3 linked regions of the Schizosaccharomyces pombe genome follow. The main gene of each other region encodes a partner of the protein of the gene in region 2 in a complex. Each region holds a gene or a part of one and is shown on either strand. Other genes may lie near its edges.

Evidence for each region.
Region 1: mrpl7 (region 2) and mrpl15 share a complex: the UniProt entries of both Schizosaccharomyces pombe proteins name them as parts of the mitochondrial large ribosomal subunit.
Region 3: mrpl7 (region 2) and mrpl32 share a complex: the UniProt entries of both Schizosaccharomyces pombe proteins name them as parts of the mitochondrial large ribosomal subunit.

Annotation. Positions count from the first base shown.
Region 1 is NC_003423.3:4,361,654-4,365,791, reverse strand, and holds mrpl15 (mitochondrial 54S ribosomal protein mL57), read left to right. Parts: upstream 1-2,000; 5' UTR 2,001-2,109; coding exon 2,110-2,742; 3' UTR 2,743-2,910; downstream 2,911-4,138. Other genes in the region: arg41 (argininosuccinate lyase), read left to right, coding at 1-407; SPOM_SPBC1539.02 (uncharacterized protein), read right to left, coding at 616-1,776; SIN component scaffold protein Sid4, read right to left, coding at 2,950-4,138. UniProt on the Schizosaccharomyces pombe protein: Component of the mitochondrial ribosome (mitoribosome), a dedicated translation machinery responsible for the synthesis of mitochondrial genome-encoded proteins, including at least some of the essential transmembrane subunits of the mitochondrial respiratory chain.
Region 2 is NC_003423.3:1,736,024-1,741,436, forward strand, and holds mrpl7 (mitochondrial 54S ribosomal protein uL5m), read left to right. Parts: upstream 1-2,618; 5' UTR 2,619-2,954; coding exon 2,955-3,818; 3' UTR 3,819-4,074; downstream 4,075-5,413. Other genes in the region: ebs1 (EST1 family protein), read left to right, coding at 1-1,006; MAP kinase kinase kinase Byr2, read right to left, coding at 4,294-5,413. UniProt on the Schizosaccharomyces pombe protein: Component of the mitochondrial ribosome (mitoribosome), a dedicated translation machinery responsible for the synthesis of mitochondrial genome-encoded proteins, including at least some of the essential transmembrane subunits of the mitochondrial respiratory chain.
Region 3 is NC_003423.3:3,906,098-3,909,959, forward strand, and holds mrpl32 (mitochondrial 54S ribosomal protein bL32m), read left to right. Parts: upstream 1-1,754; 5' UTR 1,755-2,040; coding exon 2,041-2,352; 3' UTR 2,353-2,634; downstream 2,635-3,862. Other genes in the region: PAK-like kinase Shk1, read left to right, coding at 1-961; SPOM_SPBC1604.12 (uncharacterized protein), read right to left, coding at 2,796-3,862. UniProt on the Schizosaccharomyces pombe protein: Component of the mitochondrial ribosome (mitoribosome), a dedicated translation machinery responsible for the synthesis of mitochondrial genome-encoded proteins, including at least some of the essential transmembrane subunits of the mitochondrial respiratory chain.

The sequences.
Region 1 (4,138 bases), 2.6 Mb from region 2:
AAGAAGATAAAGAACCGCTTTTCGATTCTTCCAAAACTGTTTTGGATTCCATTCAAATTCTAACCGGAGTTCTTTCTACTTTAACTGTAAATCCAGAAAATATTGCTAAGAGCTTGACTGCGGACATGCTAGCGACTGATTTGGCAGAATACCTTGTGCGTAAAGGTGTTCCCTTTCGTGAAACTCATCATATTTCCGGGTCCGCTGTCCGAATGGCCGAGGAAAGAAACACTACCATTGATAAGCTAAGTGTTGAAGATTTTAAATCGCTACACCCATTATATGAAGAAGATGTTGCAGATGTTTTCAACTATGAATCCAGTGTGGAGAAGCGTTGTGCGATTGGTGGTACCGCTAAGAGTTGTGTATTAGAACAAATCCAAACCATTAAAAAGGCCTTGGAGTAGATAAGTTTACATGAAATGATATGGATATACTTACTTTTTCTATATGTTCGTTTGATCATTTAACAGGGCTTCCTCAACATAATTCCCCGAATCGAGGTTTTTTGGTGTAAAACGGGCAAATAAATAATTGTAGCCTCATAATAATATTTTAAAAACACGTAACTTAAATCTTAAATCGTAAATATTCATACTGAATGAAGTAGTACTTTTAACCTTTCGTCTTTCTCCTTTTAACATTATCATCATCGTCAGATTCCCCTAACTCGTGAATATCTGCTGTATCGTCTTTTGATAATACAAGCCCGAAACCTGCATCAACAATTTGTCCGTCTTTTCCTTTCTTTCGCTCTTCTTCTTCTTTGCGTTCCTGAACTTTGGCAAGTCGATGAATTTGAGACATAAAATTCGTAGGTTTAAGATCGCTATATTGATTTGTATCAAAGACTTTCTTATGATAAGGCGCATCCAATTCATGATGACCTTTAAGCTGAAAAGCATCCTTCGCCTTCAACTCAGCAGGCTCTTTATCATTTTCATGAAAAGGATCATATTCTCCAACCTCCTCGAAAATATCGAGCTTCAAATCAACTGGTGGAAGTGGTATATCATGCTTAACAAAGCTTTTCCCTAAGCTATTAGCGTTCACGTTTAATTTCTCGGTTCTATGTTCATTTTCTAAACGTTCATTATCATTTTTTAACTTTTTTTCCTTCTTCACAAGCCGTTTTAGGATTTCACCATTTTCATCAAGCAAATATTTAACTTTTTTTCCATTTTCCAAAATTTTACGATATTTCGGTTGTCCATTAGGATAAAGAGGTATCTTCTTTTTTTCTTCTAGAATAGAAACAGATTCAGGATGTGATGACTCCTCAGCAACTTTCTCTAAAAGCTTGTCTGCTTCTTCGTCAACTTCTTTCTCACTCGAAGAAAGCAGAGAATCATCCAAGGCTAGCTCATTAGAGCGAACTTTTTCAAGCAATTTTCGATCAAGACCACGCACGAGATGAGTTGTATTCAAATCTCCGCCTAATTCTTTAGATTTTTCTGAATATTCTTTTGTCGTAATTTGGCCATTGCGAAGTTTCTCGTGCAATTTGTGCAACTCAATATCCTGTTTGGAAGAAGGCTCTTCATAAAATTGAGTATCTTTCCCTGAATTTTTTGCATTAGAATGTCTCGTAATGTCTGACGATGTAGAATGACTTAGTTGTTTTCTTTTAATTAGGGCTCTGGGTGCTTCCAATTTGGCCGTCTTATGTTTACGACCAAAAACAAGTCGCTGACTTTTATTCGATGAGAAATTTTTTAACTGGGAGGTTTCGGCTTTTGGAGTAGCTAAAAGCTTTCTGAAATCATCTTGGTTCATTGTGACAAATTTTCAACCAAAACTTCAGTATCCTTTCAATTAATTGTTTCTTTGGAATAACTTTGTAGTAGTTGTTTATATACACTTAACAGTAAAACACAAAATAAATTGTAAATTATTGAAACAGTTTGATAACATTAGCATACCTTGACGTTCGTACACTGTGATCTCAAGCGTAGTGCGCTATTTTACTACTTCGTAATCGGCCAATGTTTTTTAAAAACAACCTATATTCTAGTTGCAGAAAACAGATATCTTTTCTTTCGAAAAGTTGATTTTCCATACAAGGGTTTGAGGAACTTGAAGCTCTTTCTAAGATTTTATGCCATCCGTATGTTAACAAGACATTGTAATCGTTTAGGACTTCAAATTGAAAATAAATTTGTGTTCAGATCATCATCATGGAATTGTGTCCGTCGAATTGGGAAAATTGCGTGTAATGAAAATAAGTACAGATATGAAATGACATCTACAGAAGAAGACATTGACAGCTTTTTCAGTCGTGTTTTTGGTGAAAAAAATTACATCTCAGACAAATCTCTAAGAGAACAAATTGTAACTCATAAATCTTATAAACATGGGCTGAAAAGATATAATGAACCTTTCGTTTCGGTTGGAAATGCAGTTATCGATGTTTGCTTACTTAATCATTATTTGGAATCAGGAAACTTTAGCACAATACCTTCATACAAGGATTTAGTAAATCTTCGTTCCCCTGCTCGACTCGCTGAAGTTGCAAAAAAATGGAATCCTGAAACTGCCACACAATGTATTTTGCCATTAAAAGGGCCTAATTCTCCATCTTCGTCTAGTTTTGAAAAGATATACAGTAGTATTGTTTCCGGACTTGTTGCTGTCGTTTACTTCCAAAAAGGCGGAGTTGAGGCTATGAATTTTTGTAAGAAAAGCATCATATCAGATTTGACAAAAGATTTCGTGAGACCTAATACCGTGCATAATCAATAAGATGTGTAGCAGCAGGATAAAATTCTTTATGCAAAGGATGCCATAATATAGTACATTTTGCCATACGCTTATTATTACTATCGATTTATTTAACGCCTCTTTCATTCAGTCAGTAGTTAATAATATATTTCATATTTATCAACATTTGTATAATATAAGCTGCATCCCAAAATCTTATTGATCGAGTTGTAAGTCATTGGCATCCATTCACAAACTACGTTTTTTAAGCTCCCTTATCTTTTTCAGCATATCTGCTAAACACTGTTTTGAAACCAAACCGTCACGCATATTCTCCTCGTATATTAGATAATGGATATTTCGTGCCCATTGGTAGAGTCTACGACCTTGTTGCAGCTGGCGTCTGACTTGTCCGATGGTAGAAGGAAAAATTGCAAAAGGGATATTTAATTGGACCAAAACTGTTTTCAACATGTTGGCTGTTTCAACACTACACTGTTGATCTATATGCTGAAGGCCTAGCCGATAATAAAGTTGTTTTTCCTTAGCCAGATTAAATCTAGAATCAGGCATATTTAAGGAAGTAAGAGGCTGTGAGGTATGGAAAGTAGGGATGGTAGATGAAGCAGGTGTTGAGTAGCTTTTGTTCTTTTCGATCATTAACTCACTTTCATCTGACAATTTTGCATCAAGATTATTGGTATTAATAACATTTCTTATATCATTTTTTGCAGGGGCTGTAGACCCGTCATTCAGCATAGTATTCTCCTTATTATTTCCTTTGTCAGTAGTCTTTGTGGTTATTGCATTTTTTGAGCTTTCATTTGATTCTTGATCTCCATTTTGAGAAGTATGCCGAAGAATTTGTATCTCTTTACGGGCTTGGGTAAGTTCCTTACGCAAGTGCTCAAATTGCAAAAGAATAGCATCAAGTGTTGATAGCTGAACTCGTATTTCACTTGGAACCGCAATTTGAGATTTTTCATTATACCTTCCGTTGCCTTTAAGGTTAAAATCATTGCTAATAGTAGCAGATCGTACCTGCTTCGTATCAGGTTTTTGCTCTTTAAAGTCTTTTGTGCTTTTAGGGAATCGTTTTGGAGGACAAAGTGGAGTAGAAACAGTTGTTGACATTGTTGTGGGACAATAATCCTGCTGATTCATAAGCAATTGCTTGGTTATATTTTCAATCTGTTTATCTCTTTGTTGGCATTGATTTGATAAGGATTGTATTGTGGCATTCATCTCCAAAACAATATTAACAAAAGAAGGAGGTAAATCGGTAATGGCTTGTTTAAAAGGATCGATGTCTTGATCATTCGACGACATCTGTTTATTATTAGAAAGATTTTCCTGAGCCTTTTGACAATCCGTAGATTGGATAGGTTGACTAATAGAAGAAACACATGTAGATGAAGTAAGAGGATAGCCAGAAGGC
Region 2 (5,413 bases):
TCTAGTCGAACGTCGTCAATATGGATCTCTGTCTTCAAATGCTGTACTTATGCCAATGCTTCTACCTTTGTGTGTTTTGACTTCTTCGTGTTTGCAAAATGGGGACGTCTGGCTTACTAAAGATATTCGAACTGGACTTTCACAGATATTCAATCGTTTAAGCTTCTTTTTGGAGAACACAAATCAAACAGCTCCCGACGACTCTGTTCTTGTACGCTGTTCTTCTAAAAGTATCGGCCTGCTATTCTTTTTCCCTCTTGTTAAGGTTTGTGGAGTTCCTCGTGATACTTTACAGTGGCTTTACTTTTCAAATCATTATCCTTTTAATGAGGAAGGTAAAGGTCCCCAAGTTGATGATTCTGACGCACTGATAACAATTGCGTTAGATTCTTTGTATGTGTTACTGAATATGCGAGCGAAAAGTACACCAAATAGCACATCTTTTTCTTCGCCTCCAACACCCCACAGATCTCCATTTAGCGGACAGGCTTTTACTGGAATGGGATTATCGAATTATTCACTAATGTCCTCATCTTCTTTTCCATCTGCTCAATCTTCTCCTACATCTCCTTTTTTATCTGGAACACCATCCATAGCTAATCAGTCATCTAGTATTGCAAGTCTGCAATTTGGGAGGATGGTGGATAGCCTCGTTGGACCTGTTCAACCTATACCTGCTCAAACTACCGGGTGCTCTGTTCATTCATTACAACAACGCACGTTTTCAAATGAGAGTCCTAGAGCTGTCGATTCTGGTTTTAGTAGGACTAGCACACCATTTAGTGAAAGTACTAGTTCTTATCCTTTAGTGTCTGGGAATCTCAGTTCTTGTGAGACACACTTGAACGGATCTCCGCAAAACGGACATTTACAAGGTGAACGTGTTTTATTCCGCCCATTGAGAAGCCCTGCTTTAAACACATTTTCTACGCCTGCTACGGAACCTCCGGAACATTTGGTTTTGTCTGAGCTATTAAAGAAAATGGTTAACATCAGCAATAATTAAACTGTATTGTTGATTGTAATGTTTCATTAAAAATTCTGAAGTTTGTTAGAAGCAGTCAATTAACTTTGCTGCCAACAACGAACAAATTTCTTGCTTTATTTCTCACGAAGTGAAATAACCCAAAATAATGTATCACGGATTTCTTTGTTTATACACTGTGCTTACGAATTAGAAATGGTTCTTCACTTGCCTAAAGAAAGGCTTTGACTTTTATATAAGTATGAATAGTCATCAAATGGCCTAAAGTGTACGGGTATTCACGACACTTAAATTAAAATATGGTCGATGGGAAAATAAAACGTTGTTTAGTTATCATAGCGCTGTTCTGGTTTGACCTAAACACAAGCAATTAAGGCGCTTCCCAATGTTACAATATATATCATAGAATGGGTTAATTGTTTACATAGGACTGCGTTGAATTCTTTAAATAGAATCTTTAGCCTCGAATTATGAAGTTATCTGACTTGTTGGATATCCTCAGCTTGCCAATTGATTGATAATAAGCATATGAGCTTGGACAGTGAATATTCAATATTTGGTTACTCAGTGCAATTTGTTTTGTGATTCTAAGCAGAAATGCTCTTTATAAACATTTACTGCACTATCTTGAGTTTCTAGAGCTTGTTCTGTATCCAAATTGTAATGACTGGCGATTCTCAAGTGCCAGATCTTATACCTCTTTTTATGTCTTTACCAGACGTTATCGTAATGCCTGGACACAAAACTAAAGTGTAAATTTGTCTTTCCTATGAAATGCTTGGTTTTTCATTAAAGTGTTACGAATTCGAAACATATATCTATGATTTTTGAGTATACACTGGCGGTATCTGTTGTTTAAGATAATTTAGTTTTGAGTTATTCGAGGCAATCAATTTCTTATCAAGTGTGATTCTCTTTTTAGAAAACCAAACTAAAAGTAAATCTATTGATCTTTTCAAGTATTAAGACAACTTGTTTTCTTTTGGATAAAATGCTTTTATTGTTGCATAATAGATTGATAAAGGTACGAAATGTATAAATGCATTATTTTATGTTGAGTACTTTACTCTTTCAGGATTGTGTTTGAGCTAAGCTTCTTGCATCTCTCATTCATCATCACACATCTATATTGAAAGGAAAGAAGGTAAAAAACGAACAAGAACAAAGTGAATACAAAAGAACGAATTGGATTAGTATTGTTATTGCATGAAAGTGATCTTATGACATGCATCACTATCCTATCCAAATAGTTTGTAGAGCCAGTTAGTAATAATACTTTCCAATAATTTGAATATGTGTGGCATGCCATTTGGCACGATTTTGAGAAATACAAAAATAAAATCATCTTGTAAAAGAAGAGCAATTAGCTGCTTTTTTATGTACCAGCTGAAGGAAAAACATTTGTTTTTCGACGTATAAAAAAAAACAGAAAGACATCAGCTTAAAGCTTTAAAGCTAACTTGTTTAAATAAGTTTGTAAGTTACAAGTACAATACTTTCTATTACACTTGGCACTCAAAATCGTGTGGCATATGATTATAACGATGCCTCGGATTTCCTTACTTGGCACTAGGTAATACGGTACACTAACCATGACAATACACTAGACAAACGCGAGCAATCTTCCAGCCCTAGTACCTAAGATCCATTGCAAAATTGTTTTGGTTGCGAGACTTACCTGTTTTATCCATAACCATTTGTTAAAACCTTCCTTTGAAGATTTGAGAAACAGGTATCATTTGTGGACATTGGTCTTTACAATTTCCTTGTTTCGTGATTATAAATATTTTTTCCCGGATTTGTGTTATTTACTATAATTTATTGGTAAATTATAACACAAGTGCTCATCTGCTTATAAAGCAAAAGGATTTTCACGAAAATTCCCTAGAAAGTAACCTGTTGTATTTTTGTCGCTTTTGGTTTCTCTTTGTCATTATACTTGTTTTAATTCATTTTTTAATTTTTAACAATGCTTGGGATAAGAAAAAATATCAGAATATCAGTTAACTTTCTGCAGCGAAGAACCATCACTGTAAAGCAAAAACTGGGCAAGAATAGGCCCCTACCAGGATGGGATCCAAATTCTGAGTATTTTCGTCCAGGACCCACCATGTTAAATCGCTTACAAGAACACTTGCATGATACCATTTTACCGGATGTATTAGCTGCTTCATATCGACATGACATAGATACAGCGTTAAGCACAGATGAACATACACAGAAAGACAGACTTCCAAGGTGGATTGGTGATAACCCTTATTATAAAAACCGGCCTCCTCAGAAAATGCGTGGTAATAAGCCTCTGTTACCAGTAAAGGAGTCCGTTAATCCTAAAAACCTTCCTTCTATTAGCAAAGTTGTCGTCAGCACTATGCATAAAGAAGCACTCGTTGACAAAACGCAGCTCTTGAGTACAATGATGGCATTTCGTTCTATAACGGGTTTGCAGCCCGAAATAGTCTATGCACGTAAGGACGTTTCTCCCTGGAAACTTCGTTCAGGTGTGCCAGTAGGTGTAAAGGTTACTCTAACTGGAGAATCTATGTATACATTTCTTTCAATCTTATCTGAGTTGGTTCTTCCTCAGCTTCATGATTTCAAGGGCCTGAGTCCTACAAGCGGAGATCAAACAGGAAACATATCTTTTGGTTTACCAAGTGAAGTCATGCCTTTATTTCCCCAAATTGAAGCTGTTTATGAGATGTATCCGCACTCTTTACCTGGATTTAACGTAAATATAACAACCAATTCCAAAGATACCCGTTTGGCTCGTTTTTTCGTCAGCAGTCTTATTCCATTTACAGATGGAAATAAGGAAGGCTATGTTGGATAGTAGACAATTTATTTTATATCTACTATACCTAATCTTTTCTCCTCAAGGAGTGAACAAAAAATCCCCTTCTCTACGACTAATGCATACATACGTTTTTGAGTTTTACTTGTTTAAGTGATAGAATTCCCGTAGATATGTGTTATTATATATTTATGTTATCGTTTTCACAAAGTAAATAAAAATAAAAAGTTTTTTCTTGAAAAGGAATAATCAATGGATATTTTTTAAACAAACTGAACATGTAAAATAGTATTTTTTTAGTAACTAAACTCATAATGGTATTTATCAAGGACATTCACAAAATCATTAAAAACATGAATATTGTAGAAAAATATAGCAACTTAAATCATACGGTTTATAGGTTAAATAAATTCATTAGTTCTAAATGGCATAAATGCAATGATAATGATGCAAAAAAACATAAAAAAGATAGATCGTAAAATAATGTTTCTGTTTTCATCATAACTTAGCCGGCTTATGAAACGAACGGGTGGCTCAACAACTCTGATGCTGTAGGTCTAAGATTACAATCTATGGCAAACGTTTTCTCAAGGAAATCTATGGCCGATGAAGAAATGTTAGAAGGGAATTCCGGCAGAATGTTCTCCCCAATTCTGAAAATGGCCTGCATTTGATCACAATTCGGATAAGGGTGCTTACTAGTGAGCATCTCGATTACCAAACATCCCAAAGACCAAATATCTGTTTTCTCCGTATGCATAGTTTGCTTCACCACTTCGGGAGCCATCCAAAAAGAAGAGCCTTGAAAAGAAGGGCGAGCACCACCCGTCTTCGTAGAGGTACTATTTAGTTCAAGTTTCTTCGATATCCCAAAGTCCGAAATTTTAATCTTCCCTTTATTATCAACCAAGATGTTCGCACCTTTTATATCACGGTGTACAATGCCGCGTGAATGAAGGTATTCTAAGCCTTTAAGGGTTTGCTTAATAAAGTTCTTGACTAGCGTTTCCTCAAAGCTTCCATACATTGTAAGCAATCCGGCAACCGACCCCCCAGGAACATATTCCAAAAAAATGTTCAAGTGGTCCGAATTTAAGTTAGAACCGAGATATTGGACAATATGCTCATGAGACAACTCCTGTAGAAGAGCAATTTCACCCGCTAATGCATCTAAAAGTTTGGCATGGCGGTCTTTTGATTCAGAAACAGAATCTAAGATCACTTGCTTAACAGCCATCAACTCACCACTAGATGCATTCATACCGAGATAAACTTGTCCAAACGATCCTGAACCTATTAACGCACCACGTATCCATTTGATAGACTGATCATCAGTGTCCTCTTCAAGTGTATTTGTGTCCTCACTTGTAGTGGAAGTTGGAGAAATTGGGGATGGTTGCTCAATAAATGATGGGGATGAACCAGGTGAAAAGGAAAGTACTTGATGGTTGCCATGCGCGCTTTCTGAAAAAACATTATACTTCGACGATTTTTCATTTCCGTTGGACTGGTATAAAGGTTCCACACCAACCATGGTTATGGATTTTTGAAGCGATGGTGGTCTAGAAATACGCTGAGTAGAAGATACAGTAAGTGGAGGATCAAATCCCCTATCAATCCTAGGAAGTCGGTTA
Region 3 (3,862 bases), 2.2 Mb from region 2:
AGCTGTTGCGACTCCTCAAAAAGTGGAAGCACCAAGTGCCCCTCGACTTCAAAAGCGTGCACCTCGACAACAATCCAATGATTCTGCTGTATTGGCAAAGTTACAGTCTATATGCAATCCCAAAAATCCAACACTTTTATATCGAAATTTTGTTAAAATTGGTCAAGGTGCTTCTGGTGATGTGTATTCTGCTCGCCAAGTCGGCACTAATCTTTCTGTTGCCATCAAGAAAATGAACATTAATCAACAGCCAAAAAAGGAATTTATTGTCAATGAAATACTCGTGATGAAGTCACATCATCACAAAAACATTGTCAATTTTATTGACACTTTCTTCTATAAATCAGAGTTGTGGATGGTAATGGAATACATGCGCGGTGGCAGTCTTACTGAAGTGGTTACCAATAACACTCTTTCAGAAGGTCAGATAGCTGCAATATGTAAGGAAACGTTGGAAGGCTTACAGCATCTCCATGAAAATGGCATTGTTCACCGTGACATAAAATCAGACAATATCCTTCTCTCACTTCAAGGAGATATTAAACTTACCGATTTTGGGTTTTGTGCTCAGATCGACAGTAACATGACGAAACGAACGACGATGGTTGGTACTCCATATTGGATGGCTCCAGAAGTCGTTACTAGAAAGGAATATGGTTTCAAAGTTGATGTCTGGAGTCTTGGTATTATGGCTATAGAGATGGTAGAGGGAGAGCCCCCGTATTTAAACGAAAATCCTTTACGTGCTCTATATTTAATTGCTACTATTGGTACTCCAAAGATTAGTCGGCCAGAATTGTTAAGTTCTGTTTTCCATGATTTTCTTTCTAAATCTTTAACTGTTAATCCTAAGCAACGCCCTAGCTCCGGTGAGCTTTTAAGGCATCCGTTTCTTAAGCAAGCCGTTCCAGTTTCATCCCTTATCCCTTTGATAAAATCCATACATCATTCTGGTAAATAGGCTAACTTGTCAAAAAAGTTTTTGAGTAAACATCTGCTGTTAGAAGTTTCGGAATATCCTCCAACGTTTGCTTAAAAACTGTTTCTTCTCACATTGTTTATTTATCGTTAATATGCTTTTGCAGTTCGTTAGAATATATGTACCTGAGTTTATTTTTTTGCCTCCTCCACTAAAATCCATATCCGCAGGTTGGGCAGATTCAAACAGAGTACATTTTAACTACTTTTTTGCTTTACTTTAATTCCTTTTTCTAGTGCATACTTTACTTATCTGTTCCTTTTTTTTTGTTTTTTTCTTACTGCCAAGAATGATCTCAGTGACACTTGGATAATTTTTATAATAAATGAGACAATGCTTCTTTCTAAAAGTCTCAACTTTTTAATATTCGCAATGCATTATAAAAAAACTAAAAGGAAGACTAACTTATCAAAGTATTCAAAATGTAAGTACATGATTCTGAGATTGATCTTGAATCAGTCAAAATAGGTTTGAATCTTTTAAAGCGATGTTTCAATTTCAATTATGTGGAATCTCAAAGTGAAACGCCTGCTGGAATATTTCACAAAATTTTTGATCTACTAAAATTAGTACAAATACGTAGAAAACTTCAAATAATTAAATGGACTATGATTGTAGCGTAGTTCATGAGCTTAAGAAAATTGTCAACATTAAACTGCGAGACTTAATAAAGAGAGAGCGCACTTAGCATTTAAATGTCAAGCCAAAGCAATAGTGAATTTGAGGAGTCTCGTTATACATGGGTTATTACTACTCAACAGCAGACTATAGATTTAGGCAGCAGCCTACTTCTTAAGCATTGTCTCGAAACCAAAGTAACTGGTCTTTAAGTTTCCTTTTGACGACTTCCAATTATTTCAAACTCTTTTCTCGGAGATCGTAAATCTATCTGTGATTGGGTCTACTGGTTTTAGAAAACGGCTATATGCATCGTTTTATAACTATATAATTAAGATCAAGTTCTGCAGTAACTAAGTTCGCCTTACCTTGAGAAAACTTTTAAAATATTGTTCAGCATTACTGTACCCAACAATATTCTACTGTTCGCGCTTGGGTCGAAAATGGCTCTTTTAAGAGGAAATTCTTTGGCAATTAGCCAAAAAATGTTATCAGTTTTTCAAGCTAGCGCCCTTCCTCATATTTCTTTGAGGATATTTATTTCCCCCCCTTCAATAGCTAATATATGGAATTCCATTTTGCTTGCTGTTCCAAAGAAAAAAACTTCTTATACTAAGAAACGAAGTCGCTTACTGTCCGGAAAAGCATTAAAAGACAAAACAGTTAATCGTTGTCCTATTTGCGGGTCTTTTAAATTGGCACATCATTTATGTTCTCACTGTTTTAGAAATATTCGTCGAGAATTTAACGAATGAAGGGCATTAAGCATTTCTTCACTGATTTAGTGATGCTGCAAATCTTTATTTTAAGAAAAAAAATGGACTTAACATTAAATATAAGGTTGTTTCATGTAATAGTATTGCAGTTAGTGAATTGAATCTGCTCGCACTACTTAAATTTTTTCAGTATTACGATTAATGAACTACACCCTTTTTAAAAATACGCGTATAACAAAGAATTTTTTTACTTAATTTTATTTGTTGACTATGTACGGTTGAGTATAAATATCATATATTATGCAAAAGAATTTAGAGTGAAAAAATAACAAAAAAGCTGAATATATCTCTTAGCTTTCATCCTTTTTCAATACACGTTTATGTTGTAAGCGTGTAAATAATATTAAATGCATCGAAAACACAAAAGAGACTATAATCTCATGTAAAGTATACATAAACGATAACAATAAGAAAAAACCAAGCTAGTTTTTCGCCCTCCATAAACCGGAATCAATTCGTTCTCGGCGTTGAGGATCATAACGATTAGCGTTCATTGAATTACGAAAAGAGCGACGAGCCACTTGAATTGTCTTGCTACCTGGAAGACAAACAGTTACACGCAGTGGATGAGTAGGATGAATTCGAAGGGGTTGTTTGGAAGATGAGCGGTATATAGGAACCTTCTCCTCTAATGGTTTCATTTCCTCTAATTTTAATGATTTAGTAGGAAGAAACCGCTCCGGGTTCACTTTAGGCAAATGTAAATTCAAAATAACATCGCCCTTCGATCGCTGAATTCGAACAGAATTTGCATGACTAAGTATCAATCTCGATGATTTTAAAGAGCTCGTTTCCGAGGATACTACATAACTACTACTTCTGGTATCACGACCTTTGGAGTGGCTGTAAGAAGAGGATGAAGAAACAGGTTGACCGAGAGCATTAGAATTGCCAATGCGTGAAACTCCTCCATGTTCGTTGGGGACACGATGGGGTAAATGAGCATTTGCGGCCACCCCACTTTGATAGGATCTCTGTTTATATAAGTTATTGTCAAAAATGACATCCTTTATACTTAAAATAACTTCATCAATACTCCGAGACTTTCCATGTTTCGGGGAAGAAGTACTATCATCAGATTGGGGATTCAACTGTAAAGGATCATTTTTATCCGACGTAAATAAAGGCGAGACTTGAACAGGAGGAATTGGATGACTATGACTTCTCCATGAAAGCGGAGTAGAATCATCTCTGGGGCTAGAAGGATCAATTTCTGTTGTCTCTTGGTTACTATGTAGTCCTTCGGGACTATTGGTAATAGACTGAGGCTCTTTAGTGTATATTGCTTCAACTTTTTTGCTAGACTCGACATTGGAAGACCGCTCATTAGTAATAGTGGGTGAGGAATTCATCTTTGATGATGATATCTTTATTTCTTCAGCTTTTTTACGGGCTCGTTCTCGTGATCGAGCAAGTTCTTCTTCTTCATTCCTCCGCCTTTCAATTGCTTTCTGGCGAGCTTCGAGCATAATTTGCTGTTGCTCTGCGC